Cricetulus griseus: one gene and its partner. Each later gene encodes a partner of the first gene's protein in a complex. Links are inferred from orthologs where the notes say so. Each region holds a gene or a part of one and is shown on either strand. Other genes may lie near its edges. The genes, in order: Gtf2f1 and Polr2h.

Evidence for each region.
Region 2: Gtf2f1 (region 1) and Polr2h share a complex: the UniProt entries of both Homo sapiens proteins name them as parts of the TBP-based Pol II pre-initiation complex. The link is inferred for Cricetulus griseus from reciprocal best matches to the Homo sapiens genes GTF2F1 and POLR2H.

What each region holds. Positions count from the first base shown.
Region 1 is NC_048598.1:96,540,926-96,556,205, reverse strand, and holds Gtf2f1 (general transcription factor IIF subunit 1), read right to left. Parts: upstream 8,436-15,280; 5' UTR 8,171-8,435; coding exon 8,159-8,170; intron 8,074-8,158; exon of another isoform or gene 8,068-8,073; coding exon 8,021-8,067; intron 6,705-8,020; coding exon 6,632-6,704; intron 5,554-6,631; exon of another isoform or gene 5,549-5,553; coding exon of another isoform or gene 5,477-5,548; coding exon 5,283-5,476; intron 4,821-5,282; coding exon 4,650-4,820; intron 3,505-4,649; coding exon 3,320-3,504; intron 2,579-3,319; coding exon 2,425-2,578; intron 2,336-2,424; coding exon 2,274-2,335; intron 2,201-2,273; coding exon 2,081-2,200; intron 1,773-2,080; coding exon 1,699-1,772; intron 1,618-1,698; coding exon 1,479-1,617; intron 1,355-1,478; coding exon 1,264-1,354; intron 1,173-1,263; coding exon 968-1,172; 3' UTR 942-967; downstream 1-941. Other genes in the region: adenylate kinase isoenzyme 1-like, read left to right, coding at 8,789-8,849, 9,555-9,754, 11,348-11,461. UniProt on the Homo sapiens protein: TFIIF is a general transcription initiation factor that binds to RNA polymerase II and helps to recruit it to the initiation complex in collaboration with TFIIB. It promotes transcription elongation.
Region 2 is NC_048597.1:67,927,675-67,942,931, reverse strand, and holds Polr2h (DNA-directed RNA polymerases I, II, and III subunit RPABC3), read left to right. Parts: upstream 1-7,975; 5' UTR 7,976-8,317; coding exon 8,318-8,390; intron 8,391-9,367; coding exon 9,368-9,451; intron 9,452-9,696; coding exon 9,697-9,790; intron 9,791-10,825; coding exon 10,826-10,909; intron 10,910-12,442; coding exon 12,443-12,560; 3' UTR 12,561-12,807; downstream 12,808-15,257. Other genes in the region: Clcn2 (chloride channel protein 2), read right to left, coding at 35-104, 429-584, 744-828, 2,069-2,170, 2,258-2,342, 2,429-2,554, 2,686-2,764, 2,846-2,923 and 5 more. UniProt on the Homo sapiens protein: DNA-dependent RNA polymerase catalyzes the transcription of DNA into RNA using the four ribonucleoside triphosphates as substrates.

The DNA of each region.
Region 1 (15,280 bases):
TGCATACTCTGCTTGCCCAAGGGTGATCATTGCCTTAGGCCCAGGTTTCCAAAGGGCCATTAGATAGTGGAAAAGGGAAGTTCAGTGAGCAGGGACATTCCTAGAGATTAACCCCTTTTTAAAGCAGCCATTTCCAATCACCAGCTAGGAGAGGCAGAAGTGGGAGTGGGTTTCCACTAGTGTCGGGCTGCCAGTGAGAGGAAGCCTTCCCTGTACCCAAACTGTTCAGGACCCAGCTTTCAAGGCAGCAGCTGAGGCCAAGGACCAAGCAGCCATGTCACCACCCAAGAATGTAAAGCACTCTCTCTGTGCAACGCCCGGCTAGCTTTCATAAGATATATTATATTACTAGGCCTGTCAGGAGATAAGGGGGACCCCAGGAATGTCACTTGGAAATGAAAAACAGCATCCAGGTGCCAATACCAGGAATAGGTTTGGATTCCAGTAGCCATGAAAGGAAGTGCCTGAGTCAAGAACTGTACTAAGTGGCCTGGGCTGTATGCAGGAGATATGGCTGTCATCCTAGCATTTGGGAAATTGAGTTCCCAGCTAGCATGGGCTACACAGCAAGACTCTTTCTCAAAAGACAAAGTAAAAGAGCCATGCCTGCTAGTGGTACATGCCTATGATCCCAGCACTCCAGAGGTGGAGGTGGGAGTAGGAAGTATGAGTCCCACCATTTCATTGCTGTGCTACAAAAATAGCAAATCCCAAGCCTGCATTCCTGAAGGATGGCTGGAAGCTGAGCATTCCCAGACAAGGTCTACCATAAACCCCACAGGATACAATGATACAAGGTAGGGGCTAGGGAAGTGGTCAGGGCAGAGCTTCTACAAGTGAAATTAAACTCATGAAGATTGCACAGGGGACGGTGTATCCTATAAAATGAAGCCTCAGGGCCCCAGGAGGAGGGCTGAGGTGGCAATAAGGACTCACACACATTCTGGGTCTGCTCTGTTTATTAGCATTACTCTTTGAGGGAGAAGTGCATCTTATCACCAATCATCTTGCGCTCAGGGTTGAGGCGCTTGAGGATCTGCGCCAGCACGTTCACGGTCTGCTCGCTGCTCAGCCCGGTCTTCTTGGTCTGGAACTTTTTCAGTAGGTCCTTTGTGGTCATGGGCTTACGAGTCAGGTAGCGGCGTACAGCGTCCTCTGTCACCTGGACATCACTGTGGGAGGTAGAAGGAGGGAGAGTCTGGTCACACAGGAGTCCCTTGTGGTTGAGTCCTGCCTGTGGTCCCTACTTGGGTCTGAACTTACCCGCCGCTGGGTGTGGACTTCCCAGATAGGCTCTGAGGGGCAGCATCCATCCGTAAGCGCTTGGCTGCTGGGGTCTCACTTGTCCGCTTCCCTGGTGGAAAGAGGAATGTTGGGGGGTGGGGTGGGGAGGGCAGATGGGGCACCCAGTGTACAGAAGGATGTGTGGGCTGCCATCAGCTCTCATTTCCCCCAGGGCAGGCTCTGCCAGTACTCACCTTGCTCCAGCTTGCTGGCTGCAGCCCGCAGGGTGGAAGAGGTGCTTGCTGCGTCTGTACTAGGAGTCCCTGGTCGACTGGTACCCTTAGAACTACCGCCCGACGGCTTGCGCTCCCTCTTGGGGGGTGTTTTCTTCTTCTGCAAAGACTGGGGTGTAAGTCTGAAGGCTCAGACTGCCACTCCCATCCCATCCCATCCCATCCCGGGGATCTGCCTTACCGCCATGAAGAGTGCAGAGGAGGTCTCACTGTCAATGTCACTCTCCTCTGAGCTATCTGACTCATCGCTGCTGTCTGCATGGGCCAAAGGAGGGTCATAAGCAGAGCCCACCGAGCCCACCGAGCCCACCGAGCCCACCGAGCCCACCGAGCCCACCGAGCCCACCGAGCCACCGAGCCACCGAGCCCACCGAGCCCACCGAGCCCACCGAGCCCACCGAGCCCCGACACGAGCCCACCGAGCCCACCGAGCCCACCGAGCCACCGAGCCCACCACCACCACCACCACCACCACCACCACCACCACCACCACCACCGGTGTGAGCAGGTCCAGGAGAGCAGTACAATGCGGCATCATCGCCGAGCTTTAAGTACCTACACACCTTTTCTGCGTTTCTTCTCCTGTGGAGTGGGGACCTTCTTCTCTTCCTCCTCCTCCTTGTCTTCCTCAGGAGGCTTCTCCTCTTCACTCTCTTCACTGCTCTCACTCTGCTCATCCACACCTAGGGACACAGGTATGAGCAGGAAGGCTGCAAGTGGACCCCCATCTCCAGCTGGTCCCTAACTGACACCTACCCTTGGGGCCATCCTCCTGCTGCGGCACTTTGGGTTTGCCCTCTGTCTCATCCGGGGAGCTGCTGTGAAGTAGAGAAGGGCAAACATGAAGATGGATGACCATAGATAGGCCCGCCTCAGGCCTGCCTCGAACTGCCTCGAACTGCCTCACCTGGAGCCATCTGACATGTAGTCCACCTCCTGGCCCTCAAAGTCCCCATCATCACTGTCCTCAAAGGCCTCATCATCTGAGCCCTTCTTCTTTTTCTTCTTCCTGCCCCCTTTGGTCATTGGGGCCTTTTTTTTAGCCTTAGAGGCTCTGCTGCCTATGAAAAAAAAAAAAGATACAGGAGGGGAATCAGTCTGGATGAGCCCAGAGCACTGCTCACGGCTATGCAGGGGTTCCACCTGAGCCATGCCACCAACCCCTACCTTGTATCATTGTGTTGTGTGGGACTTCAGTAAAGGGTTCTCTACCCCTAAGCCATCCAACTAACCCTTTTTTAGGTTGGTTTCTTTTTTGGGGGGGGAGGGGGTGGGCGGAGGTTGCTACAGGGTTTCTCTGTGTAGCCAGACCTGGCTGTCCTGGGACTTGCTCTGTAGACCAGGCTGGCTTTGAACTCAGATCCACCTGCCTCTGCCTTGCAGTGCTAGGATTAAAACCTTTGTTTTTTAAGGTGGGAGTCCATATAGCCAGGCAGGACTGGTTATGAACTCTGGCCTATGGTCTGGGATCACAGCCAGCATACCATCTGTGGTATGTCTTCATATGTTATTCCCTGACAAGGAGACTGCACCTCAGGTTAGGCCAATTTGTAGAGAAAGCAGAAGGCTAGCCTAGGCACTTATCCCTCCTGTGCAAATCACTCAGCCCGCTGCCCTCATCCCACTCCACCAGTCCTGTCACTCAGTCACCCAGGCCTGTGACCTGCAGCACAGCACCCTTAGAACATTCAGACAAACTGATCCCATGGAAATTCTGTTAAGCTGCCATTCATTTCAAGAGGGACCATGCAGCTTCACTGGTGGCCCTGTCCTTGAACTAGAAACTCTGGGGACCCGCTCACCTTCCTCGCCACTGGCATCACTGGCATCGGAGGACATTTCCAGGTCGTCCTCCAGGTCATGGATGCGAAGCTCACTGGGCTTCTTGCGGCTGCGCTTCTCCTTCTCCTCCTCATCTTCATCCTGGTCCTGGTCCTTGAGCCTCCGCTGTTGCATGATGCTGAAGTGGTTTAAGACCTTGTTCCTCCTGCACATGGGGACAGAGACTAAGCACTCTGGGGCGGGTGGTGGAGGCGGCAGGGGACAGCAAAGGAGCTGCTTGGGTAAGGATGGTGGAAGACAGTGACCAGGCCACTCAATTGGACATAACAGGATGGCCTCTGTGGGAGGCTAAGGCAGGAAGACCCCGGAGTCATCAAAGTGAACCATACAGCAAGCTCTAGGCAGCCCTTGTGTCCCTGGTCGGCCAGCCAACCAACCAATAACAAAAAAAAAGGGGCAGACTAGGCAACCTGGGCCATTTCAGATCCCCAAATCTTGAAACCATACACGGTGAGCCCTGAGATGCCATGTGTAACTGAGCATCTAGGGAGCCCCACATCCTAGCTCCTCCAGGCTCAGGGTCTATTCCAGTTAAAACCAGCTGTCCACTAATGTTAGCTAATTAATATTCCTTTATGTCTTTTTGTTTTGTTTTTTGAGACAGGGTCTCTCTATATAGTCCTGGCTGAGTTGGAATTTGCTCTGTAAACCAGGCTGTCCTTGAACTCACAGAGATGCTCCTGCCTTTGCCTTCAGAGTGCTGAGATTAAAGGCATGTGTCACACCATGTGTTGTTTTGGGACCAGATCTCATATAACCCTGGCTGACCTCAAATTTAATACAGAGCAGGGGATGGACTTCAACTCCTGATCCTCTTGCTTCTGCTTTCTGGGTGCTAGGACAACCAGTATGCATGCGTACTATCCCACACCACATCCCCAACAATTAATTTATCTCATGGATTACTTAGACCAGGGGTCTCACTGGACAAGGAGCTGTTGTGGACCCGTCTATACATGTCTAGAATAAGACTATGTGTGGGGGAGGGGCTGCTTCTGACATTTCGGTCCTGGCCCTTTGAGAACTGGTCCAGGCTTCCAGGCAGGTACAGAATAACCACACACATCACATAAAAGCCAGCAACCTTCTATGGACACCTTTTGCTGGGCCTCCCTAGTTCTCTGTCCCAGCTTCCTGGACTCTACCTCCTAGGCAAGAAGTGAAGCAGTTGTCATGGGAAGGCTAGGCCAATTAGTGGTGCCAGCCCTCACTTGGTTCCCAGGCCAGCCAGCTGCCTGCACCAAGTGGATTTGCTGCAAGGCTCTCTGCAGTACGACCCCTGTGGCTCACCTCTCCCACTCCTCTTCGGCCTCCTCAGCAGTGAGTGTGCGGTGTCGGGCCAGCGGTGTGAAATTGTACCAGTTCTGCACAGGGAAGGCCTCAAAGGCACCGTCGGCACACTGAGTGAAGATATAGTAGGCTGTGTTCTCTGTCACTCCGCCCTTCTTTATGCCCTTGAACCTGTGGAGAGCCTACGGTCAGGTCACAAACCTACACACAGGGACTTGCCCCTCCTCAGAACCCACTTGGGCTTTCTTGGAATGAATGCCTAGGACAGAAGGGCACAGGCCACGATCTCCTTAGCACAAATCACCACTCAAGTCACCATGTGACCTGTGGCCACCATCTTCAAGGCTGCTTTCAGAACTGGGTCATGCTGCACTGTGCCCTACTCCCAACCTATAACCCACCATGGCTACTGTGCATAGAATACTTGTCACTGACTCCATGAGACTCTATCTCCTTTGCCATGGATTACCCTCTCCCAAGGGGTTATCCCAGATCAGACTTTCATAAGGGAGGTGGTACTGGGACCCCCCCTAACCCCACCATGCTAGGAACAGATTCAGAGAGGATGCCCCCACAGTGTGCATGTGTGAGGGACACAGGCAGGCCCTCCCTCCCACCATCAGTACCACTCACTTCCTGCCCGATTTGCCATTGACCCGAAGCAGCCAAGGCTGGTCCTCAGGCCGGAACTCCTTCAGGACGATGCCATACTTCTTTCGTCTTGCTTCCTCCCGGAGCTTTCGGTTAAATTCACTGCCTGCTCCGGACTCTGGCATTTCCTCTTCCTGGTAGATCTTCTTGTTGCTCAGATCTCGCTCTAGCCGGGCCTGGGGGAGCAGCAGGCATGGATCCTCAGGCCCCACAGGAACACCCTTCTGTCTCCCTCTGCTGGATTCCATATGCTCTGGGCATCAGGAATGGAGGGTTTGGATTCTCAGTACCCAGGAACAAAGCTGGGCAATGCCACATGCATCTGAGGCCCCAGCAGGCAGGAACAGACAGGAGGGTACCTGGAACTCACTGGTCAGCAAGCCCAGGTTCAGTGGGATACCCTGACTCAGAAACTCATGAGGAAAGTCTGTGAGAGAGTGTTGCCTGCGAAGCCTTAGACTTCAAGACCCAGGCAGGTGAAAACTGACCCCTGAAAGCTGTTCTCTGATCTCCAAATTGTGTCCCACACTCATCTGTGGCCTAACATATGTCATCCAAATAATAATGTGCAAAGTAACTAAAGAAGACACCTGTTGTCAACCTCTGGCCCTGAGATGCACCACATGCCCACAAGTGCATGTGCACACACGAAATGTCACACACAAAAGGGACTCCAGGGAATGGGGCCCTTAGAAAGACCACAGAGACAGGCGGTGTCCACCAGGGGATAGCTCAGATGCAACCAGACAATATGGAGATATAGCATTTTAACATGGCACCCAGAATAGTGGACAGTTTAAAACTTTGGCCTTTAAAATTTCCTTATTTATTTTTTGGTTTTTCAAGACAGGGTTTCCCTGTAGACCAGGCTGGCCTCAAACTCACAGAGATCCACCTGCCTCTGACACCTAGTGCTGGGATTAGGATTAAAAGTGTGTGTGCCACCAGCGCCCGCCATACTTTGTCTTTGTTAAAGCATGGTCCAGGTATCCTAGTCTTCACTTGAGCTCACTTCATAGCCAAGGATAGTCTTCAATTTAAGAACCTATACCGCATGCCTGTGTTGGGATGATAGACACGTGCTACCAAGTCCAGCACACATGGGGTCCTACTTGGCCTGCTATATGCTAGTTGATGCTCCATTAACCAGCCACAACCCAGGCTTGCTTTTTTTTGAGACAGGATTTATGTAGTCAGACCACACCTCCAAATGGTTGGAACCACACATCTGCCAGGGTTGTAAGTGTAGCCGCCACCACTTCAAGAAAGTGATGACTGTAACCACCACCCAGTTAGGCCTCTGCCCCAGCCACCCAGAATTATAGACTTACCTGGTTCCAGGTAGCAAAGTTGACTTTATCAGCTGCATTAAAAGCCATTATGTTGTACTTTTTGGTTGTGTTCCTGGAATGGGCAAGAGAAAATTCAGTCTACTGATTAGTCATTCAAAAAATCCACCATGATTACACCCCTTGGTTGTAGGTAATTCTGGGAACTCATAAAAGCTCCAGAGCAGTGGTTTTCAACCTTCCTAAAGCTGCACCCTTTAAAACAGTTCCTCATGTTGGGGTGATCCCCAACCACACAATTATTTTCGTTACTACTTCCTAATTTTGCTACTGTTATGAATCATAATGTAAATATCTGTGTTTTCTAATGGTCTTAGGCTTAGACCATTGGTCTAATTAGACCAATGGTCCAATGGTCTTAGACCCTGTGAAAGGGTCATTTGAACCTAAGGGGTTACAACCCACAGGATGAGAACCACTGCTCCAGAGTTTGTTTAAGAAGCTAGATCAAAAATAAATAAATAAATAAATAAATAAAATAAAATGGATCCATCTCCTCCAACCCTATCAGAAGTTAGCCACACCCAGAAGCCCCAGCATGCTCACAGTGCATAACTATACATGCAGACAAAACATTTTTTTTTTTTGAGACAGGGTTTCTCTTTGTAGCTTTGGAGCCTATCCTGGCACTAGCTCTGGAGACCAGGCTGGCCTCGAACTCACAGAGATCCGCCTGCCTCTGCCTCCTGAGTGCTGGGATCAAAGGCGTGTGCCATCAACACCCGACTCAGACAAAACATTCTTACACATAAAGATAATAAAAGAAAAAGTGGGCCACCAGGCAGTGGTGGCAAGTGCCTTTAATCCCAGCACCTGAGGGAGAGGGGGGAGCAGAGGCATGCAGATCTCTGTGAGTTTGAGGCCAGCCTGGTCTACAGAGCAAGTTCCAGGACAGACTCCAAAGAAATACAGAGAAACCCTGTCTTGGGAAAAAGAGGAGATCAAGCAGGCAAGAGGCGGAGGTGTGTGAGGGTCTTGGTAGGTTTAAGGCCAGCCTGGTCAAATCAGCTAGAACTACATTACACAGTAAGACTGGTCTTCAAAATAAGAGAGGGCTGGGTATGGCTTAATGGTGGACTACTTGGCCTCGCATTCATCTAAGTTTGGGAATTTTTTTTTTTTTCGAGACAGGGTTTCTCTGTGTAGCCCTGGCTGTCCTGGAACGCGCTCTGGCTTCCAGGCTGGCTTCAAACTCCCAGAGATCCACCTCCCTCTGTCTCCCGGATTAAACGCAGCCACCGTGTGTGGCCTGAGCGTCTGAAAATAGGACAGAGTCATCGAGCCTGACATTAACTACGGTGTGACTGTTACTGTGACTTGCACGGAGCCACCACCGGGCCGAGGAGCGTGTGGTGGGTGTGGGTGACTTACTTGGGGACTCGGACGACATACTCGGTGACGTTCTGGCTGCCGGGGCTCTGCAGAGGAAGCACGGGTTTGTGAGGCGAGGAGAGGCCGTGGATCTGTCCTGCCACCCCCACCCCGCCTCTCCGTTTCATTCATACTCACTAGAGTCGCCATGGCCGTTGCTCAAGCGGTTCCGGGGCGGCGTGATCCGATGCTCTTCGTGGTATCCCTCGGTCCCGGGGAAGGCAACTTGCCCGGGAGTTACGTTGGTATGATCCTGTGTTTTGTGTCTCCAAACCCTTAAGTCTCAAGAAGACGTGACTCTGACCCGGAACTAGAACTGCCACACCGGGGTGGGAGCTACCTCAGCACTCACCTAGCTCAGGCGGTCTCCAGCCTCTGACTAGCGCTCTCGCCGCCAGCGCGAGTGATTTATTCACGGCGCGTGGGCACGCCCCTCGTGACGTCACGGCTCAGGCACCGCGGTGCATCCTGGGCAGGGTGGGAGTGGCGTCTTCTGGCGAGTGCGTCCTCGGCACTCCTGCGCATGCGCCAACGTGCCAGTGGCGGGTGCGGAGGCCGCGTTGCCATAGCAACCGCGGCCGGCTCCGCGAGAGGACTCTTGGGGCTCCGGGGGGGGGGGCGGGGGGCTGGGATTCCGTTTTCTGTGCCCCGGGTGCCGGGGGGAATTCCGGGCATCTTGCAAAAATGAGCCCCTTGTGACGTCGAGCGGAGCCAAGGGGTCGGGGCAGGTGGGAACCCGGCCCCCGCGTACTCCGGCATGCGGGCAACATGGGTCTGTGCCAGTCCACGCTGCCCCAGGTGGGCAGAACTTTGAGGACCCAGGAGAAGGGTAACGTGGTGGGGTGGTTGGCTTACGCGGGTGGCGGACGGGGCGTGGGAGCAGGTATCCCACCCACCGTGCGGGTGTGCTCACACTAACGCGGCAAGAACGCAGCTGCGCATGCCCTCTCCCCCCCAGTGGTGGATGCCTGCGGAATTACAGCTCTAGAGGAAGGGCTCAGAGAACGGGGGCCTGAGGGATGCATAGGAGTTGGTTAAGCAGAGGGACAAGGCAGGCACAAACCTTGAACCATAAACGGCTACTGACTTCCACGGTTGGTAGCAGAGACATTCATTTCTTCACCATCAAGGGCCATGCACCCTGGGTTACAGAGGCTGGCTAGGAGGACCAAAGCGAGCCGAAAGAGAGAAAGAACCATGGCTGACTATGGAATGCATGGGGGGAGGGGGGTCTGAGGCAGGGGGAGGACAAGCTGGGACGCTTGACCCCAGCACGGGGGGAGGTGTGACTGTAGACGTAAGCAGGTAGGTTAGACAGGACCACCGCATGCTGGACTGAGCAGGGTGCGGCTGCGTGAGTTTGAGGGCCTCTCCCTTTCATTATCTGTAAAATGGGGTGATGGAATTACAAGGGTGCTCCAAGGAGGTCTGTGCAAATGGCTCAAGAGAATCCCAGCACTGGGATCCTTCGATTCGAGACCAGGGCACCCTGAAGACACGCACTAGTACCCACTGTCTTCCATGAACACTACAGATGTCCTGAAGTCTCCCCTGATCATCTTCGTGGTGGGCGGCCCTGGCTGCGGGAAAGGGACACAGTGCAGAAACATGGCCACCAAGTACGGTTTCTGCCACGTGGGGCTGGGCCAGCTGCTGCGGGAGGAGGCTCAGAGGTGCACCCGGCGGGGTCAGCAGATCCGGGACATCATGCAGCAGGGACTCCTGGTGCCCACGGTGAGAGTTAAAGGGAGAGGGGGGCAAGACAACACAGAGTCAGTCCCCAGGAAGCCAGGGTGTCCTGGCCCAGGCACTGCCTTGTCATACCGACACTGTCATGAGAAGACTGTGATGTGGGAGCAGTTAAAGGCACCTGCTACTTTGGCCCAGGACCTGGGTTTGGTTCCCAGTACCCACATGCTGGCTCACAACTGTCGGTAACTCTGGTTCCAGGGGACCTGATGCCCTCTTCTATGCTCTGAGGGCTCTGCACACATGCACAGACATCCATGTAGGCAAACATTCATACAAATAAAACTCTTATAAAAAAAAAAGCCATTATGAGGGCTGTTGGGAAGATCTGTTGGTAGAGCATGCACAAAGTCCTGGGTCCCATCCCAGCACCTCAGAAATTGGGTAGACACTGGACAACCCAGTACTCAGGAGGTGGAGTCAGGAGGATGAGTTTGATGGTATTGACTACGTTAGAGAGTCCATGCCAGGGGTCAGAGAGATGGCACCGTGGGTGAAGGCCCTTGAGCCAAGCCTGACAACCTAGTTGAATGCACAGGAAGGAGGAACCAATATAGCTTGTCTTCTGCCCCCACAGGTGCTGTGGCACATACAACATCCCCTGCAACTAGATCCATAATAAAGAGCTCTAATAAACTTTTGTTTTATTTGTTTTTTATTTGTTTGTTTCCACCAGACAGGGTTTCTCTGTGTAGCCCTGGCTGTCCTGGAACTCAGTCTGTAGACCAGGCTGACTTTGAACTCACAGAGATACACCTCCCTCCAGAATGCTGGGATTAAAAACATGTGCCACCACTGCCCCAAAAAATCTTAACTTTTTAAAAAAACTTATTTTTGCTGGGCGTTGGTGGCGCATGCCTTTAATCCCAGCACTCGGGAGGCAGAGGCAGGCGGATCTCTGTGAGTTTGAGGCCAGCCTGGTCTCCAGAGCGAGTGCCAGGATAGGCTCCAAAATAAAAATTTATTTTTTGGTTTTTTGAGACAGGGTTTCTCTGTGTAGCTTTGGAGCCTGTCCTGGCACTCGCTCTGGAGACCAGGCTGGCCTTGAACTCACTTAGATTCTTCTACTCTGCCTCCCGAGTGTTGGGATTAAAGGTGTGTGCCACCACCACCATCCATCCAAAATCTAATAAACTGTTTTTTTTGTTTTTCGAGACAGGGTTTCTCTGTGGCTTTGGAGGCTGTTCTGGAACTCACTCAATAGACTAGGCTACCTCTGCCTCCGAGTGCTGGGATCAAAGGCAGGCACCACCAACACCCGGATCTAACAAACCTCTAAGTGGCAGTGGTGCACTCCTTTAATCTCAGTATTTGGAAGGCAGAGGCGGTCGTGTTTCTATGAGTTTGGGGCCAACCTGGTTTATGAGTTCTACTACAGCCAGGGCTGCACAGAGAGACCCTGTCTCCTAAAAACAAAAATGAAAAGCCTGCAAGCAGAAAGGAAGCCAGTGATTGAGGTGCTGGGTTTTTCCTCTGTCTCACATGAGTTCCAAACTGAATGACCTTTGTAGCACCTGGCCTCTCTGGGGTGGCAGGTCCTGGGCACTGAGTCTTGAGTCCGTGCCCTTTTGTTCTCAGGGTCTCATCCTGGACATGGTCAGTGACAACATGTTGGCTCATCCAGAGAGCCGAGGCTTCCTCATCGATGGCTTCCCCAGAGAGCTGGAACAGGCCAAAGAGTTTGAGCGGATTGTGAGTGCCCCGACCCCAAAGTGTCCTTGAGTGTGTGTGCCTTGGGTGCGGGTGGGGGTGGGGGGTGGGGGGGGTGGGGGGGGGTCTATGCTACCCTTCTCTCTACTCCCCTTAAAGCACTAGTGGATGATGAGATGGGGCCTGAGGCTGGGAGGCCTTCCTTCCTTCAGCTCTCATAGTCTAGGCAGGTCTCAAACTCTTAACTAGGATAGACTGACCTTGAAGTCCTAACCTTCCAGCCTCTGCCTTTGGGGTGTTGGGATGGCAAGCTTGTGCTACCAGTCCTGGTTTATATGCCTAGGGTGGAACCCAGGGCTGTGACCAGGGCGTGTCCTCTGCCCCATCCACCACCACCCCCAGCCCACACATGTGCAGTAAGAGTTAGAAGGCCACATAGAGAGGCAGGCCTGTGACCTTCCTGTAAGGCAGGAAGATTATGATTTCCAGGCCAGCCCAAGCTACATGGAGAGTTCAGCTGTCTCAAACAACAACAACAACAACAACAAAACAAAACAAAAAAAAAAAAAAAACAGGACTGGAGAGATGGCTCAATGGTTAAGAGCACCAATTGCTCTTCCAGAGGTCCTGAGTTCAATTCCCAGCAAACACATGGTAGCTCAAACCATCTATAATAGGATCTGAAGCCCTTTTCTGGCATGCAGGTATACTTGGACTCATACATGAGATATAAATAAAAATAGCAAAAAAGCAAACAATAAATTGAACAAAACAGGCCTGCAGAGGGCTCAGCAGTTAAGAGAACTGACTGCTCTTTAGTGGCTCACAACCATCTGTAACTCCAGTTTTAGGAGATCTGATGTCCTCTTCTGGCCCCTACAGACTTGTGTGTGTATATGGTGCACATAAACTCACCCAGGCAAATGCTTACACGCATAAATTCGTTTGTTTTGTTTTTCAAGACAGGATTTCTCTGTGTAGCCCTGGCTGCCCTGGAACTTGCTTTGTAGACCAGGCTGGACTCGAACTTAGAGATCCACCACCTTTGCCTCCCGAGTTCTGGGATTAAAGGTATGTCCCAACGCCACCTGGCTCATACACTTAAAAAAATTTTTTTAACCAAAAAAAAAAAAAAAAAAAAAAAAACCCTAAGGTGGGGAACAACAGTGGAAAGTACTGTTGGCCTTCATATTCAAAAGCACACATAGATGCTGATGGTGTGAGCCATGGAAGATTCCAGAGGGCGAATTTATTCATGCATTGTGTTGCCAATGGGCTCAGGAAGCATTCCCACTGCTGTTGCCATGGGGACCTGCAGGCCCCACATTACCAAGCCAGTGGTTTTAAGAGAAGCTGGGAGCTGGGATGCAGAATTAGCACCCCCCACACTTTGTTTAAATATCAGTCACAAATTTTTAAAATGTGAAACTAACTGTGTAACCCAAGGGAACTGTGGGCTGGGAGTCAGGGTGGAGCAGCTTCAGTCCTCAGTGTCTCATGTAGCCCAGGCTGGCCCCCAACTCTTCAAGCACCCAAAGATGACCTTGATGTTGATCTATCTCCCTAGCGCTAGGATGACAGTGAGGCAGCATTGTCTGGCTGGCTTGTGTTTGTCTTCTGACTGTTTCTAGAGACAGTGTCTCTCTATAGCCAGGAAGCCCCTGAAATCCTGCCTATGCCCACTGAACTCTAGGACTCAGGCTTGCATCATCACAGCAAGCTGTTGGCTGGACAGGTAATAGTTAATTCCTTTTAAAGAGAGATTTAAATTTATGCATATGCGTTTTGCATGCATGTATGTATGTCCACCACAGATAAGCCTGGCTGGCCTGCTTTTGAGGTCTAGGTATGAAGATGGTGTTGGATCCCCTGGAACTGGACTTAGAATGGTTGTGAGCCATCATGTGGAAGCTGGGTCCTCTCCAAGAACGAGTACTCTTCCACTGAGCCCTCACTATGGGTGTACTCTAGGATATGCACACAGAATAAATCTTTGTCTTGAAGACTTAAAGAATGGCCGGGCATTAGTGCCACACGCCTTTAATCTCAACACTCGGGGAGGCAGAGGTAGGTGGACCTCTGAGTTTGGTCTACAGCTCAAGTTCCAGGACAACCTCCAAAGCAATACAGAGAAACCCTGTCTCGAAAAACAAAAAACAGGGCTGGAGAGATAGCTCAGAAGTTAAGAGCACTGACTGCTCTTCCAGAGGTCCTGAGTTCAATTCCCAGCACCCACATGGTGGCTCACAACCATCCGTTATGATATCTGGTGCCCTCTTCTGGTGTGCAGATATACATGGAAGCAGAATGTTGAATACATAATAAATAAAATCTTAATATTAAAAAAACAAAAACAAAAAACAGCCGGGCATTGGTGGGTGGCGCACGCCTTTAATCCCAGCACTCGGGAGGCAGAGGCAGGCGGATCTCTGTGAGTTCGAGGTCTACAAGAGCTAGTTCCAGGACAGCCTCCAAAGTCATAGAGAAACCCTGTCTCAAAAAACCAAAAAAAAACAAAAAAAAAAAAAAGAAAGAAAGAAAGAAAAAAAAAAGAAAAAAAAAACACAAAAAACAAAAACCCAAACTTGATGAGGCCTGGTGGTGCTCTAACACCCATAAAATCCCCATGTGAGGGGCTGAGATATGGCTCAGGGATGGAGGCCCTGCCTAGAATTCCCCAGTGAGGGGCTGGGGGCGTGGTCTGGGCAGCAGGTGTCCTCATTGCCTAGAGTGAGGATTGGGCACAGAGAACCTTCATCCTTTTACATGTTTGTCTTATACACTCTGCACATGCAATGCCCACTACAAATGTAGTGCAATACACACTACAAATCAAGCCTTGGGTTGGGTGGGGCTGGGCTTAGAGGGCAGAGCACTGGCTTCTCATATTCCAAGTCCTGGGCTCCATCCCTAAGCCCTGTGTAGATGTGAAACTCCATTAGTGTCAGCTAAAGATGTGTGGAAGATAAGGGACTTTGGTGTTGTCCCTGTCCCCACAGAAAGCAAGAAACCAGGCATGGTGGTGCACACCTGTCATCCCAGCACTGGACTGGGGAGGTGGAAGCAGGACAATTGGGGTTCAGGGTCATCCTGGGCTACATGGGTAGTTCAAGGGCAGCCTGCTTCATGAGACCCTGTCCAAAAGAAAAAGGAAAACAAACAAACAAACAAAAAATCAGGGCCAGGTGAGGTAGCACACAAACTTAACCCTAGCACCTGGGAAACAGGCAGGTGGATCAGAAAGCCTGCTGCTCTACAATGTTAGTTCCAGGACTATATAGTGAGACCCTATCTAAAAATAAAAAAAAAAAAAGGAAGGAAAGAAAAGCAAAATAGAATAATAAAATAACCGGCTTTATGGTATCAGCACTCAGGAGGTAGAGCAGGAGGAAAATAAATTCAAGGCCAGCTTTGGATATACACATGACCTACTCGACCTTGGGTATATACATGATCCTGATTCAAAATAAATAATGAAAAAGAACACACCCAGTGTGGCTGTGTGTGCCGGTGATTTCATCACCCTGTCTCCAAAAGCAAACCAAAGGGTACAAGATATGGCTCAGTCCACAAAGCGCTAGCCTTGCAAGTGTGCGGCCCTGAATTCCATGCCCAGAGCCCACATAAAAACTTGGGTGTGGTGTATATACTTGATCTCAGCTCTTGAATAGGGGAGACAGGAGCATCCCTGGGACTCATTGGCCGGCCAGCCTAACCTATTTGTAAAGTTTTAGGCCAGTGAGAGACCTTCAAAAAAGCAAGGTTGTAGGCTGCAGAAATGGCTCAGCAGTCAAGAGTGTGTATTGAACCAGGCATGGTGGCATTTACCTTCATCCCAGCCCTGGGGAGGCAGAAGCAGGT
Region 2 (15,257 bases), on another chromosome or scaffold:
GCACAGGCTGGAAGGCAGGCAGCTGCAGACTCACCAATGACAAAGACAGGCATGAAGGCCCCACAGGGCACTGGGATGGTAGTGGCCAGTGCAGACATCCAGAACTGTAGGCAGGAAGGGTTCAAAAGAGAGGCCCCAGGGAAGCACCTCTTACCCATCTACCAAGCACAACCTTCCCAGCTAGCCCAGAATCCCCAGAGATGAAGGGAAAAGAAAGGACTCTGGAACTAGAAGGCTGGGGTTCAAATCCTCTCATCCAACCAACTGCTTTGGCAGTTACTTTTCTGTGTCTTGCCTCACCATCTTTAAGACAGGGATAAGAGTCCCTTTGTCACAATATTTTGAATGCATGGTAAGTGCTTGGGATGGCACATGTTCCTAGTGGCCTGGAAACCAGTAGTGGTGTATAGCCATGGAAGGAGTCTCACCTTCATGAGAATGAAGATGACCAGAGTGAGAAAGACATTGGCACGTGGTGGATTCCAGGCCTGTGAAGTGCTGGGTAGTTGTAGATCCTCTACCAGGCCCTGGCGGACCCACGTCCGGTTGTCAAACAGAGTGACTAGGGTCTCTTTCTGTGAGAGCTAGAGTAAACAGAGTGCTTTAGGCTGGGACACAGGACCCCAGGAAGAGTCCCATAGGAGTCCATGGAAACACGGGGTCGCAGTCATGCTGGGGCTGTTGGCTTTGGAAAGGAATGCATCTGGGTGAGTGGGGGGGGTCACATTTCGGCTAAGGGCTACCTGTCCAGCCATGAACTGTCCAAAGCCAGGGGGGAAGGTCAGAGTGGAGATGAGCAGGGTCACTAGTGCCGGGAAGAGCAGCCGTCTAGAGATGGAGGTTTTACAGCATCAGACAAAAGTCACACACCTCCCATGGACTGATCATAGGCCAGGTGCTCTTATATACCTCAGGACTAAGATCAGAGCAGGGCTTATATATCAAGGTACAGTGCCTGAGAGTAAGTCCTTTTTTAAATTTAAGATTATTTATTTATCCATTATGCATACAGTGTTCTGCCTGCATGTATGCCCTGCACACTACAAGAGGGCACCTGATTTCATTTTAGATGCTTGTGAGCCACCATGTGGGTACTGGGAGCTGAACTCGGGTCCTCTGGCAGAGCAGCTAGTGCTCTTAACCACTGAGTCATCTCTCCAGCCCCCGAGAGAGTAAGTCCTTTTTTATTGTGTTTGATGCCACAGCTCCAAGTGTGATGGTGGATTGGGATTATTATAAGAGCTAGGAGTGGAGGGGTCCTGCCCTAACCCCATAGGGGGCAGCAACAGCAAACCCATCTCTAGCCCTGTTTTGGAGAAGTCTGAGCTGAAACTGCCTCAGCTCTCAGAAGCCCAGTTGAAGGGCGAGTGGTATGAAGGCTTAAAGAGGCCTCTACCACTGTCTGCCCTCAATGGTGACCTAAAAGAGAGCATTGTGAGCTGAGTGTGGTAGCGCACGTCTTTGATTCCAGCACTGGGAGGCAGAGGTAGGTGCACTCTGGAGATCGAGGCCAGCCTGGGCTACACAGTGAGACCCTGTCTCCAGAGCGAAGGCGGTGGTGTAGAAGAAGCTCTGAAGAATGCCTTCCTGTTCCCAGTTCTCAGGCTCATAACGCAAAGAGCTGTGTTCTGAGATAAAAAATATCCATCCACACTGGTCATGGGGTAAACTGAGGTACAAACACACTGTCTGCTATCTGCATGAGGCCTGAAAACCTTGGCCTTTTATGTCAAGTGCCCCTGCCCCTGAGTAAAGTTCAAAAGTAACAGATCCCAGGTGGCTGCCATGGATACAGGTCATAGCATCAGCAGGAAAACATTAGCTGATTAGCTACCTTTTACTCTTTCATATGAGAGACCTAGTGTCACACTGTAGCCACAGTGGGTTTAGACCTTGCTACAATCCTGCCTCAGCCTCTGGAGTGCTGGGATTATAGGTGTGTGGCACTGCACCTGGCTGAAGTGCCTGATTTTGACTGGGCCTCTACTTCAAACCCTCAATGCCTCTCCATCTCCCCATGTGGCCCTTAGACAACCCAGAGCAGCAGAGAAAAGAGTGCGCCACATACTTCCTCATGAGGAAGCGGTTGATGGTTTTTTGCTTCCGCATCACCTGGACAATCTTCCGGTTCAAGTAGACAAAGAGGGCTCCCCCGAAGCCACTAGCAATACTGGAGAAGAAAGAAGTACCAGGGTAGAGGGGAGGCCTTCTCATGGAAACCTCCTTGCTATCCCACACCCTCCTGTAAGCCCCTTACCCAATGACAGCAAAGGCTGGCAGTTCCTGTAGGTCAAAGGGGAAGTCCAGTCGGAACCGAGTTTTGAAGAGAGCAGTAATGGTTTCTGAAGGGAAGAAGTACAGGGTGGCAGGTAAACTTGTGTTCCACTTGCATTACCTTAGATGCCCTCACCGCCCCCAATATCCCCACCTTCATCACGGTTCCAGACTGCCAAGACCCGAAAGATGAAGGCACTGAAGGTGGCCGCAAAGAAGCCCCGCCAGTAGTTCCTAACAGCGAAGAAGGTGGAGGTGACCTCAATGCTGAATAGGACCCCTGCAAGGGGCAGAGGACATCGCCCTTGAGGCCAGAGTATGGCCTTCGGAGGACTTACTCCCAGGAGAAGAGGGGTTGAGGAGGAGAGGCCAAATGTGGGGCTAGGCTATGCTGACTGGAGCCACGCCTACCTCCGATAGGTGCTGCAAAGCAACAGCCCACTCCCACTGCGCATGCAGCAGCCAGCATCTCTGTGTTCCGGGATTCGTTCTGGCAAGGGTGGGGGCACAGAGTCAGTTTGGGCTCAGCGGTTACCCCCCCCCCCGTCAGATATTAAGGTTCTCCTTTTACCTCATAGATGCCCCCAAAGAGGGAGAGGAACTTGCTGAGAAGGGCAGCACACATGCTGGCAATGTGTACAAAGGGTCCCTGGTGGTAGGGGTTGGTTGTGAGTAGGGACAGGGCCTTCCAGACCTTGCCTGGCCTTTTCTTCCAATGGGAGGGGCTCCTTCATTCCCCAACCTGCAATTACCTCTTTGCCAAGGGGCATCCCACTGCCTAGGGCACAAGTTAGCCCAATGACCTTAGCTACAAAGGTCTTGAGGGTGAGGTATTCTTTTAGCACCACTCCCCGAAGGATGGTTTTCATCTCAGGGATGCCAGATCCTGCAGAGGTACATACCCAGGTAAGTCGTCTGACACTTTCATTCAGGAAGCTTGAGCCTCCCTCAATCCCTCCTATCCTACCGACAGCCTGTGGGGCCAGGATCTGGGTGAATCCAGCAGAGAAAGTGATGAGGACGACAGGGTAGGTAACCCAAGCCAGGTACTGGAGTAAGATGTTGGTGTTTAAGCCCCGGGACATCCATTGCTGAGCTGTGGGCACACGACATGCTTGCTGGACTTCTGGTGTACATATCCACACCTTGCCTGCCACTGGGACACACTGATATGACAAGTGTACAGAGCCGGGGCACAGAGAGACTGAAAGGCCCTATAAGGCCTTTCACTGGGACAAAGCCCATCATAGATAAGGCAGATGGAGGGCAGGCAAGAAGGTGTGGCCTGAGCAAGCGGCAGTAACTATGCCTGGAGATGGGCAGTCAGCCTGGCCAGACAAAGTGGCCAGTAGCCAAGTGACTTAAACAACTGTGGCATGGAGGAAACAGGTTGGCCCTTCCCAGCCTTTGCCCTCACCCTGTAGACAGACAGCGATGGCATAGTCCATGGCCCAACTGACCAATGCCATGAGGAGCCCCAACAGGACCAGGAAGATCCAGTCTTCACCAACCCTGGACACTAGGAACTTGTGGCAGCGTACAGAACAAACTGGAGGCAGGGAAGGGAAGATCCATAGAGAAGCTGGTACCAAAGTGCTCTTACTCATCCGTCTCTCCCCATCCCCCATGGGCAGCTCTAATGGTCTCTGCCTCCCCCAGTATAGAACAGTCAGGTCCCTGCCCCAATCCAGGTCTCACTGCGGCATCTGGCACATCGGCTTTGTCCATACTCCAGGAGCTCTGGGGGAGCTCGGGCAGAAGGGGACCCCTTCCAGGGCTCAGGCCCTCCCAGGCGAATCCGAGCAGCTTCCTCTTTGGCGAAGGCCCCAAGTTCCTGGGTGTACCGGCCATACATCTGGAACCACAGATAAAACATGGCATTAGCATGTGTGCCTGAGGTGGGGAATGCAGGGAGGGTTCCTGGGTTCTGACCCTGCTTTGCTCAGCTCCCACACTGTGTACCCCATCTTGAATCCAGTTCTCACTAGGCTCAGAGTGTGGGAACAATGCACATTGCAGACTGCGGGGGCTGTCCTGGCCAGAGTGATGGGGACAGACAAGGTACAGGGACACAACTCTGGGGGTGGCAGAATAATCAGTCCTCTTCTGGCGAGCCAGGAGTGAGGGCACTGGGGAGGAGAGGGAAGGGTCCAGAGGAGGGAAAAGATGGAAAAACCTAAGGCACAGTCTGAAAGTGGGAGGCAGGAAGGTCAGAGACTAAGGGATGGTCAAGGGCGTATGAGCAACAATAAGAGGCTGGTGGAGCTGAGAGCAGCTGAGCTGGGCCTAGGAGGTCCCAGCCCCAATCCTTATCACGTTCCTACTGGGCCTTTGGCCTGTGACCAACTCAGTGGCACCCTTCCCACCCACCCTAATCCCCTTGTCCTCATTCTCCACTCCCAAACCCCCATTAGCCCGGCAGCCCAGCTCAAAGTGGAAAGCCTCTTTGGGTGGGTAAGGCAGTGTTGGGTGATTTCAGTCCCTCTGGAACTGCACTTGGGGCCAGTGACAGGTCTTGGGGACAGCAGAGGTTGCAGATGGCAAGGCTGTGACTGTGGTACAAGGCTGATGGGAAGAGAGTTATGGCTGGACCTGCCAAGCTGGGCGTGTGTTGGGGGGTGGGGAGGAGTAGATTCTGGCTGCCACCCGCGGAGCTTCAAGACACAAAGGGCTCCTGTTGGGGTTGGGGTTTGTGTGTGTGTGTGTGTGGGGGGGGATAGACAGAGCTCGGGTGAGACACAGAGGAAAGGGAGAAGCAGAGGGAACGGAACTATATAGGAAAGAGGGAGAAAGACCCGAGAGCAGGGAGGAGGAAGAGACCAGAGTGTGGAAACACAGCAGGTGGGAGGAGGTGAGGGCCAGACAAAAGGGTAGGAGGGGAAGTGGGAGAGGCCAGAGCAGGGAGAGCTTGACCCTGAGAGCTCATTTCATAGACACAGGGAGATGGAGTGGCGGCTGGTGCAAAAGAGATACCATTTCAGAGTTTAGGTGCCTGGCTTCCATGGCCAAATGCCCCTCTCCTTGACCTGTGCATGGCAAGGATAACAGCCATTGCCAACAAAAGGGCTTGCCGGCACTAGCGTCACTCACACCTACCACCTCTCCCAGTCATCCAGTTTCATACAGTCTCTGGTAATTGGGCACCTCCCTGACTCAGTTACAATCCAGGCCCTCTCTCAAGGAGGTTCCTCCCTGACACCCTCCAGGGCAAATTCCAGCCCGAGCTGATAAAACGGAGCCATAGGGCCAGTTTCTTTCTGTAGGGCTTGGGCCCCCCACCCTAGTGACATGAGGGTGAATGGCTTCTTAACTCTTGACTTGCTATGAGTCATCTCAAAGCTCAGGACCCCTGCTTCTGATGAGGTCAAGGGACACTCCATGGGCGTGGGTGGTAGTGGTGGTGGGGTACCTGCCTAGATCCAGCTAGAACAAAGGTTCCAATTCTCACACCCATTCCTGCTTCCTGCATCAACCCTCAAGCTTCGGTCCCCAGGGTGACAAGCCACCTAAGCCAGCCACCTTTCCCAAAAGTTCGACTGAGGGGTTCTTGTCAATGCTGGACTTTGAGTCTTTAAAGGCAGGGGGTAGGTTTGGATTTGATTACTTCCCTGCAGTCTTTATGTCCAGCTTAATGCTGTGGCATAGTAGGGACACAGGGAAGGTGTAGAATGTGGATAGGCATTTGGAGAAAGTTCACAGGTATCGAGAAAGGGTACTGGGGTGCTGTAACTTGGTAAGTGGAAAAAACAAAATCGTGTCAGCCGAAGGGAGTAAGGGGAAGGACACCTGGGCCAAACACCTGGTGTCATTGTCCTCTCCAGGCCACCAGTCTCAGCCAGAAACCAGCAAGCAGCTTTCAAACACCCTGAACCTATAGCCTGTCGGATCCCGAACCTCAGTTTCCACAGCTGAGGAAGGCTGAGGCCGGGCTTGGGTAGGCCGCCTGTGCTCACACTTCCTAGGGCAACCTGCAGCAGTGGTGCCATAGCGCACCCCTTAGGTTTCACTTACCAGGGTCTGCTCATACTGCAGCGCCCGAGGCTCCATCCCTTCCCCCGCCGCCGCCGCCGCCGCCGCGGCCGTGGCGGCCGCCATCTCGGTGCACTGTCCTCTTGCCTCCCTTGGCTTCTCGGGCTCTGGCCTTGACTCAGCTCCCGGCCCGCTGAGCCCGCGCCCGCACCCGTCCCGTCCCCTCAGCCCCGGCGGCCGAGTGCAGAGTGCGACGGTCCCCGGGCGCGCGCCGCAGGCTCAGCCTCTCGCTAGCGTCCCCTCCTTGGCGGGCGGGCCGAGGGCGGTGCCCTGCTTGCTGCTCCGCCCTGGCCCATCTGCAGGGGCGTCCGGTCGGGCTGGGGTCTGCATTGGAGCCGCCTCCTGGCCTCCGGAGAAGCGGCAGGGGGCGCTTGCAACGCGATCTTGCACCCCTTCTCTGGGGAGGCCGGGGGCTGACCCGGCCCCGAGAGGGTGCGGGGCCGGACGGGGGCGGGTCCGCTGGCACGTGGAGGGGACGGGCTCTCGGGCGGCTGCAGCGTTGTGCGGGAGGGGCTGAGGATGTAGTGACTCCAGGGCTGGGGCAGGGGGCTGCTGACGAGCTATCTCGGGCTCTCCAGGCCAGACTCGACTGGGGCAGCCTCTGCTTCGCGTTTGCTGGCGGCTCAGACGGGTCTGGGAGGATTCCTGAGAGCCCGCTCCCTTATCGCCTCCCTTCCTCCTTTCTTCTTTTCCTCCGGGTTCCCCCGGGAAGGTGCACCTGGAACTGCTAGGCCTGGAGATCGGGGCGGAGGTGGAGGTGGGAGGGGACGGGAAGGGGTGAGGCCCGAGGGAAGGGAGCTATTGGTGCGGGGGAGGCTGCTCCTGGGAGGCGGGCGTGGGGGAGCAGAGGTCGCTCCTCCCAGGCATCGCTTAAAGGGGGAACTTGAGTAGCTGCTGACGCCTCGAGGAAGCGGCCCAGTGAAGCTCTACGTTGTCTTTCGGGATCCTTGGAAGGATAAGAACAGTGTGGCGTTGGCACAAAGAGGATGGACAGCGTTAGGTTGGTGCCACTGGAGAGGACGGTGCCCAGAAATCCGTGTAGAAAGAACAGCATCAGGATGAAGACTCATTCAGCAAACAGAGGGTGGTGCTCAAGGGGAGCGTACGGTGCCCAGTACGGGGGCTGCGATGAAAGGAGATAGCACCTGGAAAGAGCGCGCTGCGAGCTGTCGTTTCCCAGGGAAAGGCCAGTGTCGGGTGGAAGCGCACTGGATCAGTGTCCAGAAGAGGGTAGTGTAGTGGGGTGACAGGCAGTACCAAGTTCAATTGGCAGTGTTCTAGGGGATCAGAGTTAGTGCCAAGCAGGGCCAAGGGAAGACCGGCGTGGCGAGGAGGTGAAGCCCCAGGCGAGGGCACAATGCGGGCTTTCCTTTCCCTGACAGTGACATCACGGCAAATTCCCAAACCGGACGGACCCGGCTCGGGTGACGTCTAGCTGGTCAGAGCCAGCTCGGACCAGCGTGGGGAACCTTGGTGGCCGTCCGAGGGGCTGGGCACTGCGTCCCGCTGGGCGGGCGCTCTGCGGGTGGAGTTCGGCTTCACCCTCCTGCAGCACGGACTGTGCCCTCGGCGGGCACGCGGACCGCAGGGAAGGGCTAGGGCCGGGCTCCCTCTGGGCCAAGGATCAAGGTTCCTGGCTGGGTCCGGTCCCGGAGCCTTCCAAGCATCGGGATCCGGGGTCTGAAGAGGGCGCCCTAGAGCCGGGCGCATCGCGGTACCCGCCGGGGGTGGGACTTAGTCTGTCCCCGCCTTGGGCGGAGTCACCGCGCTTTGAGACTCGCCCACAAGGTCCGAGCCACTCCGAGGTGGCCTTTCCCGGCGGAAGTGAAGGAGCCCCGAGGGGAGGCAGCGGAAGTGGCTGCGTTGCTGAAGCCTGTGCGCATGCGCCCTGCGGCTGGTTGCCGCTTTTTGGGGCGGTACTCTGCCCTGTCTTCTTTTCTCCACGTGAGGGGGTGCGCGAATTCCCAGTGGTGGCCGCGCGCTCCGCACCTCTGCAGTTCTCGTGCCCCTTACGATGGCGGGCATCCTGTTCGAGGATATTTTTGATGTGAAAGACATTGACCCAGAAGGCAAGAAATTTGACCGAGGTAAGGTGTGTAGGGGAGGTGAGGAAGAGGCCAAACATGCCCACCCACCCCAAGTGGCCCGTCCCACCCTCTCGGTACCTCCCTCAGGAAACAGTGTTTTTCATAATGAGAAACTTGGGACAGCTTTTCCTATGATGTTTGCGGTGTCTGGTGCCTCGGTGGCCCTTGGCTTTGGGGTTGGGAAAGCCCTGGACACCTTTCTGACTCCTTATTCAGTATTACGTGCTGTATGTACCGTGCGCCTCTCTCGCACACTTAAGTATTGTAGTAAGAAGTGATGGTGCCCGATCTATTTTGTTACTTAAGGCCGTGCAGCGAGTTACCTCCCTGTCTTCCTAACCCATAGTTTTGTATTGCCCCAAGAATTGTTAGCCCTTTGCCGAGTCCTCTATAAATTTCATGCAGCTGACTGCTTGGTGTATTCATTTCCCAGTAATCCGGAAGTTGTTTCTTCTCAGTGTCACTTTACCTGGAGACAGACCCCCCCCCCCCCAATACAGATTCTCTTTGTAGCTCTGGCTGTCTTGGAACTTGCTTTGTAGACCAGACTGGCCTTGAACTCAGAGATCCACCTGCCTCTGCCTCCCAAGTGCTGGGATTAAAGGCGTGCCCCCCCCATTTTTAAAGACAGGTGTCAGTTCTCAATACACCCTGCCTATTCCCTCCGCAGAGTGCCTACTAGGAAGTGGGGATCTCTGGACTAATGACTATCTTGTTCAGAGTTGAGTTTAGTCTAAATCATCCAGGTGTGCTTAGAGCCTAGAGACGGGTTGCTGCCAGAGAAGTTCTGCTTCTTTCTTGGGATCCTGACACTTGCTGAGGTGTTTACTCCCTTTCTTCTCTGAATCTGATTTGGATTGCACTCTGTGTCTGTGTCCCAGAGCAAGGCTAATGGCTGTGGACTAGTTGAAAGATTTGTTCTCCTGCATTCGACCCCGACTCTGTTGCCTGTAATTATGTCTGTCGCTCTTTCCCAGTATCTCGGCTGCACTGTGAGAGTGAATCTTTCAAGATGGACCTCATCTTAGACGTGAACATTCAGATTTACCCAGTGGACTTGGGTAAGTGTCCAACACAGGAGCTAGCAAGTGAATTTTTTTGTTTGTTTGTTTGTTTTTCGAGACAGGTTTTCTCTATGGCTTTGGAGGCTGTCCTGGAACTAGCTCTTGTAGAACAGGCTGGTCTCGAACTCACAGAGATCCGCTTGCCTCTGCCTCCTGAGTACTGGGATTAAAAGCATGTGCTGCCAACGACTGGCTTTAGCAAGTGATTTTTATCTTTGGTTTCCGCTTGATGCTCTTTTCAGGTGACAAGTTCCGATTGGTCATAGCTAGTACTTTGTATGAAGATGGTACCTTGGATGATGGTGAATACAACCCCACAGATGACAGGCCTTCCAGGTGAGGCGGTGGTAAAGGAGGGACTAAATAGATAAGTAGTACATAGAATGGTCTTTATTTTACTGCTAGAAAAAGACATTACTGCACTTAGAATTCACACAACCAGAACTGGGTGTGATGGTTTGTGTCTGTAATTCCAGAACTCGGGAGATGAGGCAGGAGGATGAGGAGTTCAAGAACACCATTGGCTGCACATCAAATCTGAGACCAACCTGGGCTGGAGACCCTGTCTCTAAAAAATTTGAAAAAAATTTCAAACAACTGGCTTGATTACTTAGTGAGAGCAGTGAGTGGAAGCTTGTGAACTGCAGTTGTTTATTTATTTGAGACAGGGTCTCACTTTGTAGTCCTGGTTGGCCTGGACTATGTAGACCAAGCTGGTCTCAAACTCACAGATGACATCCACCTCCTCTGCCTCCTCAGTGTTGGAATTAAAGGTATGTACCACCACACCCTGCAAATGTAGCTTTTTTAAGGCCTAGAAAATGATTACATAGTAACCTAGATTTTGGTGTGACAGAAAGACTGTGGAGTATTGGGTCTGGTGGTACACACACTTAATCCCAGCATTTAGGAGGCAGAGGCAGGAGACCTCTGTGAGTTTGAGGCTAGCCTGGTCTACATAGCCAGTTAGGACAGCCATGACTATATACTGAACTTTTACTTCTCAGCTCCACTACTTCCATCTTCCATTTCCTTATCAATAAAGTACAGACAGTCATTTCTAGTTCACTGAATTGATGTGAAAGCCAAATAAGGTTGCGCTTCCATGGCATTTGTTGTTATCAGTTTCTATTTTAATTATTTCTATCTTTTTGGTTTTTCGAGACAAGGTTTCTTTGTGTGGCCGTGACTATCCTGGAACTTACTCTGTAGACTGTCAGGCTGGCCGAAAACTCACAGGCCTCTGTCTCTGCCTCTGCCTCTGATTCCTGAGTGCTGGGATTGTGCCACCATGCCTGGCTCAGTTTCCATTTTTAAATGTCTCTTACACTATTGATTGCTGTGAAAAGTAACTTTGCCTATTGTTTGTAGGGCGGACCAGTTTGAGTATGTCATGTATGGGAAAGTATATAGGATTGAGGGGGATGAGACCTCAACCGAAGCGGCGACACGTCTGTAAGTAACATTGTCTGGCTGTTAATAATCCAACCTCCCTGTTGTGAAATTGGGTCATGCTTCTCCTTCTGTATCAGGTTCTTTGTTTTTTCTAGTACCCGAAGCCGGGGTGGAAGAATTTGTTTTGGGAACAGTTTCTAGTCTGAATTTTGATTACTTACATCACCTGCTATCAGGATTTCAAGGCCCTGTGGCCCACAGGAGACTTTGGTAATCTTGCTTCATGAGGGACAACAGAGAACATCTTGGGGGATCACAAGCAGCATTTCATGACTAGGCCTTTTTATTTTTTACTTGTGTATGTGTTGCTACTCTGTAACCCAGACCTTGGTTCTTTAGTTTCCCTGCCTAATTTTTCTTTTTCTTTAAAATTGGTTTTAAATGCCGGGCAGTGGTGGCACACGCCTTTAATCCCAGCACTCGGGAGGCAGAGACTAGTTCCAGGACAGGCTCCAAAGCCACAGAGAAACCCTGTCTTGAAAAACCAAAACAAAATTGATTTTAAAACAATATGGTTGTTAGAATCTTGAAGCAGAAAATTAATGTGAAAAAGAACAAAAGTCACCTAGGAGGACGTTTTTTACAATTTAAATAGCTGGTGTGGTGCACACCTTTAATCCCAGCACCTGGGAAGTAGAGGCAGGTAGATCTCTGTGAGTTCAAGGTCAGCTGGTTTACAGAGTAAGTTCTAGGACAGCCAGAGATAGTGAGACCCTGTTTTGAGAAAACAAAAACAAGCGTTGGAGTGGTCTAGCTGTCTTTTTTCTTTTCTTTTGTTTACTTTTCCCTTTAAGATCCTTTATAATGTTTTCTTTTTTTTTTTGTCTAACATACTTCCCTTGTCAGGTGAAAATTCCCCTCAATTTTATTTTATTTTATTTTATTTTGAGATAGGGTCTCTCTATGTAGCCTGGGCTGTCTTGGAACTCACTATGTAGACCCAGGCTGGTGTTGAACTCGGGAGCTACTTGACTGCCTCCTGATGCTGGGATTAAAGACATGTGCCACCCTCCTGATTCCTTAGCATTTTCAAAAAAGTATTTTTTTATTTGTGTGTATGCATGCACGTGGGTGCTTATATGTGTACCATGTGCAGGTATGAGACCACCAAGGTCAGAAGGGGGACATTGAACACCTTGAAAATGGGGTTACAGGTGGTTGTAAGGTGCCATGTGGGTGCTTGGGGGTGGTGAATCCAGGTCTGCATTCTTCTCTCCAGCCCCTACCTCAGTATCCAATAGCTGTATAATATTGCAATGAATGGTGACACCTTCATTTGTGTGAACAACATTGTAATGAATGGTGACACCTTCATTTGTGTGACTACTCTCCTATTTTGGGCATAGCAGCAGCGTTTACTCCTCCACTAGAGTAAACAACACTGCTTTGTGCATATCTGCATTCAGGTTTGTCCCAGTCTTTGGTTCCTAATGACAGAATGCTAGGGGAGTGCCTTTAAAAAAATGGACGGAGAGCTGCTGGGAAGCAGCTGCTTGAGAGCTCAGACTCAGGACCAGGGACCTTCTGTTTCAGCTCTGCCTATGTGTCCTATGGGGGCCTGCTCATGAGGCTTCAGGGTGATGCCAACAACTTGCATGGATTTGAGGTGGATTCCAGGGTGTATCTGCTGATGAAGAAACTGGCCTTCTGAACCTCGTGGGAAACCAGCCCTGCTGCTTAGTCATTCAAGTCATGGACACTGTTCGAACCTGAGTAGAAGCTGGCGTTGCTGACCTGTGAAAGGAACTGGCTCTGTGTCCACTCTGGATACAGCTTCAGTTTGTCTGAATTCAGTGGAAAAGTGACTTGTCTGTAGAAGGTGCAGCGGGAGAGCGCAGCATGAATCTCAAGTTGTGTATGATTTTTTTTTTTTTTAAATTAAAGCTTACTTTTTCAGACTCTTCTCTTGAATTGGGGGTGGGGTCATCCAGGGTTTACTTTTGCTGTCTAGCCTAGGCTGGACTTGGACTTGATCCTCCTGCCACTGTCTTCTGAGTTTCTGGGATTGCTCACACCTGGCTTATGCAATGCTGGGAGTCAAAACCAAGGCTCTTTTGTGTGCAACAAAGGAGGTATCTTCCCCCCCCAGTGTGTGTGTGTGTGTGTGTGTGTGTGTGTGTGTGTGTGTGTGTGTGTGTGTGTTTCCACCATCTGTGTCCTGGGGGTTGAACTGAGGTTCTCAGGACAAACTCCTTTACTCACTAAGCCTTTTTTTTTGCTGACCCCCAGTTGGTCTCTTGATGCCCTGGGTTTCTCACAGGAGCTGGTGGCCCTGCTGGGATGCCTGGGGTGTTTCCTTTCCCGTCTTTTTTTTTTTTTTTTTTTTTTTTTTTAGTCTTTACAAGAGGTGTTAGAAATGGTGTAGTGTTTAGGGAAATGGGTTGAAAATGAGTGGCCTCAGCGGGGAAGAGCAAAGGTTTTTTCTTTTTTCTTTCCACAGTAGGGTGTGTGTGACATATTGGGGGTTGGGATGAATCTTAATAGAATCTTTTAATCATCCCATGGAGTCAGGTTTTGGAGGGGGAGACCCTCATTAGAAATAAGTGATAGAATGTCAAGTAGACAGTAGGCTGTTCCAGCATAGGAAAGGGGGACTTAAGTAGAAAAGCTTTCAACATTTATTTGTGTGTGAGGGGGAAGATAACTTTGAGAAGTCCCTTTTTGCTGCCGTGTGAGTCACCTTCAGTGGCTGAGCCATCTTGCTATCATAATCCTGTTTTTGTGTGTATGTAGGGGAAGAAGTGATAGAATCAGCTGCACAGAATCAATTTGGTTTAGACTTTTCGCTTTGGTTTTGATGGTGCAGGATCAAACCCAAGGCTTACTAGGCAAGTGTCATGTCACTGAGCTGGTTCTTCAGGCAACGTTTAAAAGTTTTAAAGGTGGAATAACACCTGAAATAACAGCTGAAATAACAGCTGGTCATATAGCCAAGGACGACCTTGAACTTGTGATTCTCCTGCCTCAACCCCACAAAGTGCTGCTATTATCAGCATGCACCGTCATACCTAGTTTCAGGGTCAGTCTTTTTTTTTTTTTTTTTTTTTTTTTTTTTTAAAGATTTATTTATTATGTGTACAGTGTTCGGCACCAAGTCTCATTATAGATGGTTGTGAGCCAATATGTGGTTGCTGGGAATTGAACTCAGGACCTTTGGAAGAGCAGGCAATGCTCTTAACCGCTGAGCCATCTCTCCAGCCCCCCAGGGTCAGTCTTAAGAGGGCAGATTTCAGATTGGTTTACATTGTAGAAACCAGTTTCTCAGATTAGCACGTATCAGATGCCTGGAGCGTTAGCTATGTCGCAGCTCAGTATCCTCACCTGTCTTCTGACCGATGAGAAGCTGAGAACCCACATTTTTGGCTGGCTTATCTTGTTCAGAGTGCCAGCTCTTCTGTGCTGTAAAGTGTTTGGCTTGATGATTGTGGCTTTTGTTGTTTTTGTTTTTGTTTTTACTGTGCTGAGGATTGAACCCCGGACTTTGTGTGTGCTAGGCAAGAGCCCTGCCACTGAGCTATGTCCCTGCCGTAATACAAATTAATTTTTGAGATACAGTACAGTCTTTTGTAGTCCAGGGTGGACTCAGATTCCTTATATAGCGGAAGGTGGCCTTGAACTCCTGATCCTCCTGTCTCTGCCTTCTAAGTTTTGAGTTTACAAGCATGTGCCATCATGTCCACCTTTTTTTTTCCTTTTCAGTTTTATTTGTGTGTGTGTGTGTGTGTGTGTGAGATGTGTGTGAGATGTGTGTGTGCAAGTGTGGACATCAGCATGTGGTGGCATGCATAATGAGGTCTTAAGACAACTTTTGGGAGTTGGTTCTTTCCTTTCCCATGGGTTCCGGGCATCAAACTCATGTCAGGTTTGCACATAAAGCACTTTCACCTACTGAGCCATCTCACTTGCCGTAAATTTATTTTTAAATGTTAAGTTTAACCTCCTTCAGTGTTACAACAAACTACAAACTATACTGAATGATCCTGGGATTAGTCGTGTAGATGAAACTCTCTCCTGTGTAGAAACTGACAGTGCCTTGAGATTTTGATACCATTTTTTAGCTTCATGTATTTGTGGACTCCTGGTTCTGCCCCCAGGGACACCAGGAGATGTCTGAATTGTGACTCCCACCACAAGCACTTGTCTTCTCCTCAGAGCTTCTTAAGAGTGTATTTAGCCTCCAAGGACGTGGACGTCTCTGCTTTGCATAGGCTCACTGAAGGACATATCAGACAGGGCACCACATTGGGTTAGATGAGTGGACTGCCACTCAGGCTGGGGGTCATTTTTCTGTCTGAAGGCTGTGTGACCAAGCCCATCTGGCCTTGGTGTGTTCGTTCATGTGTAAGAC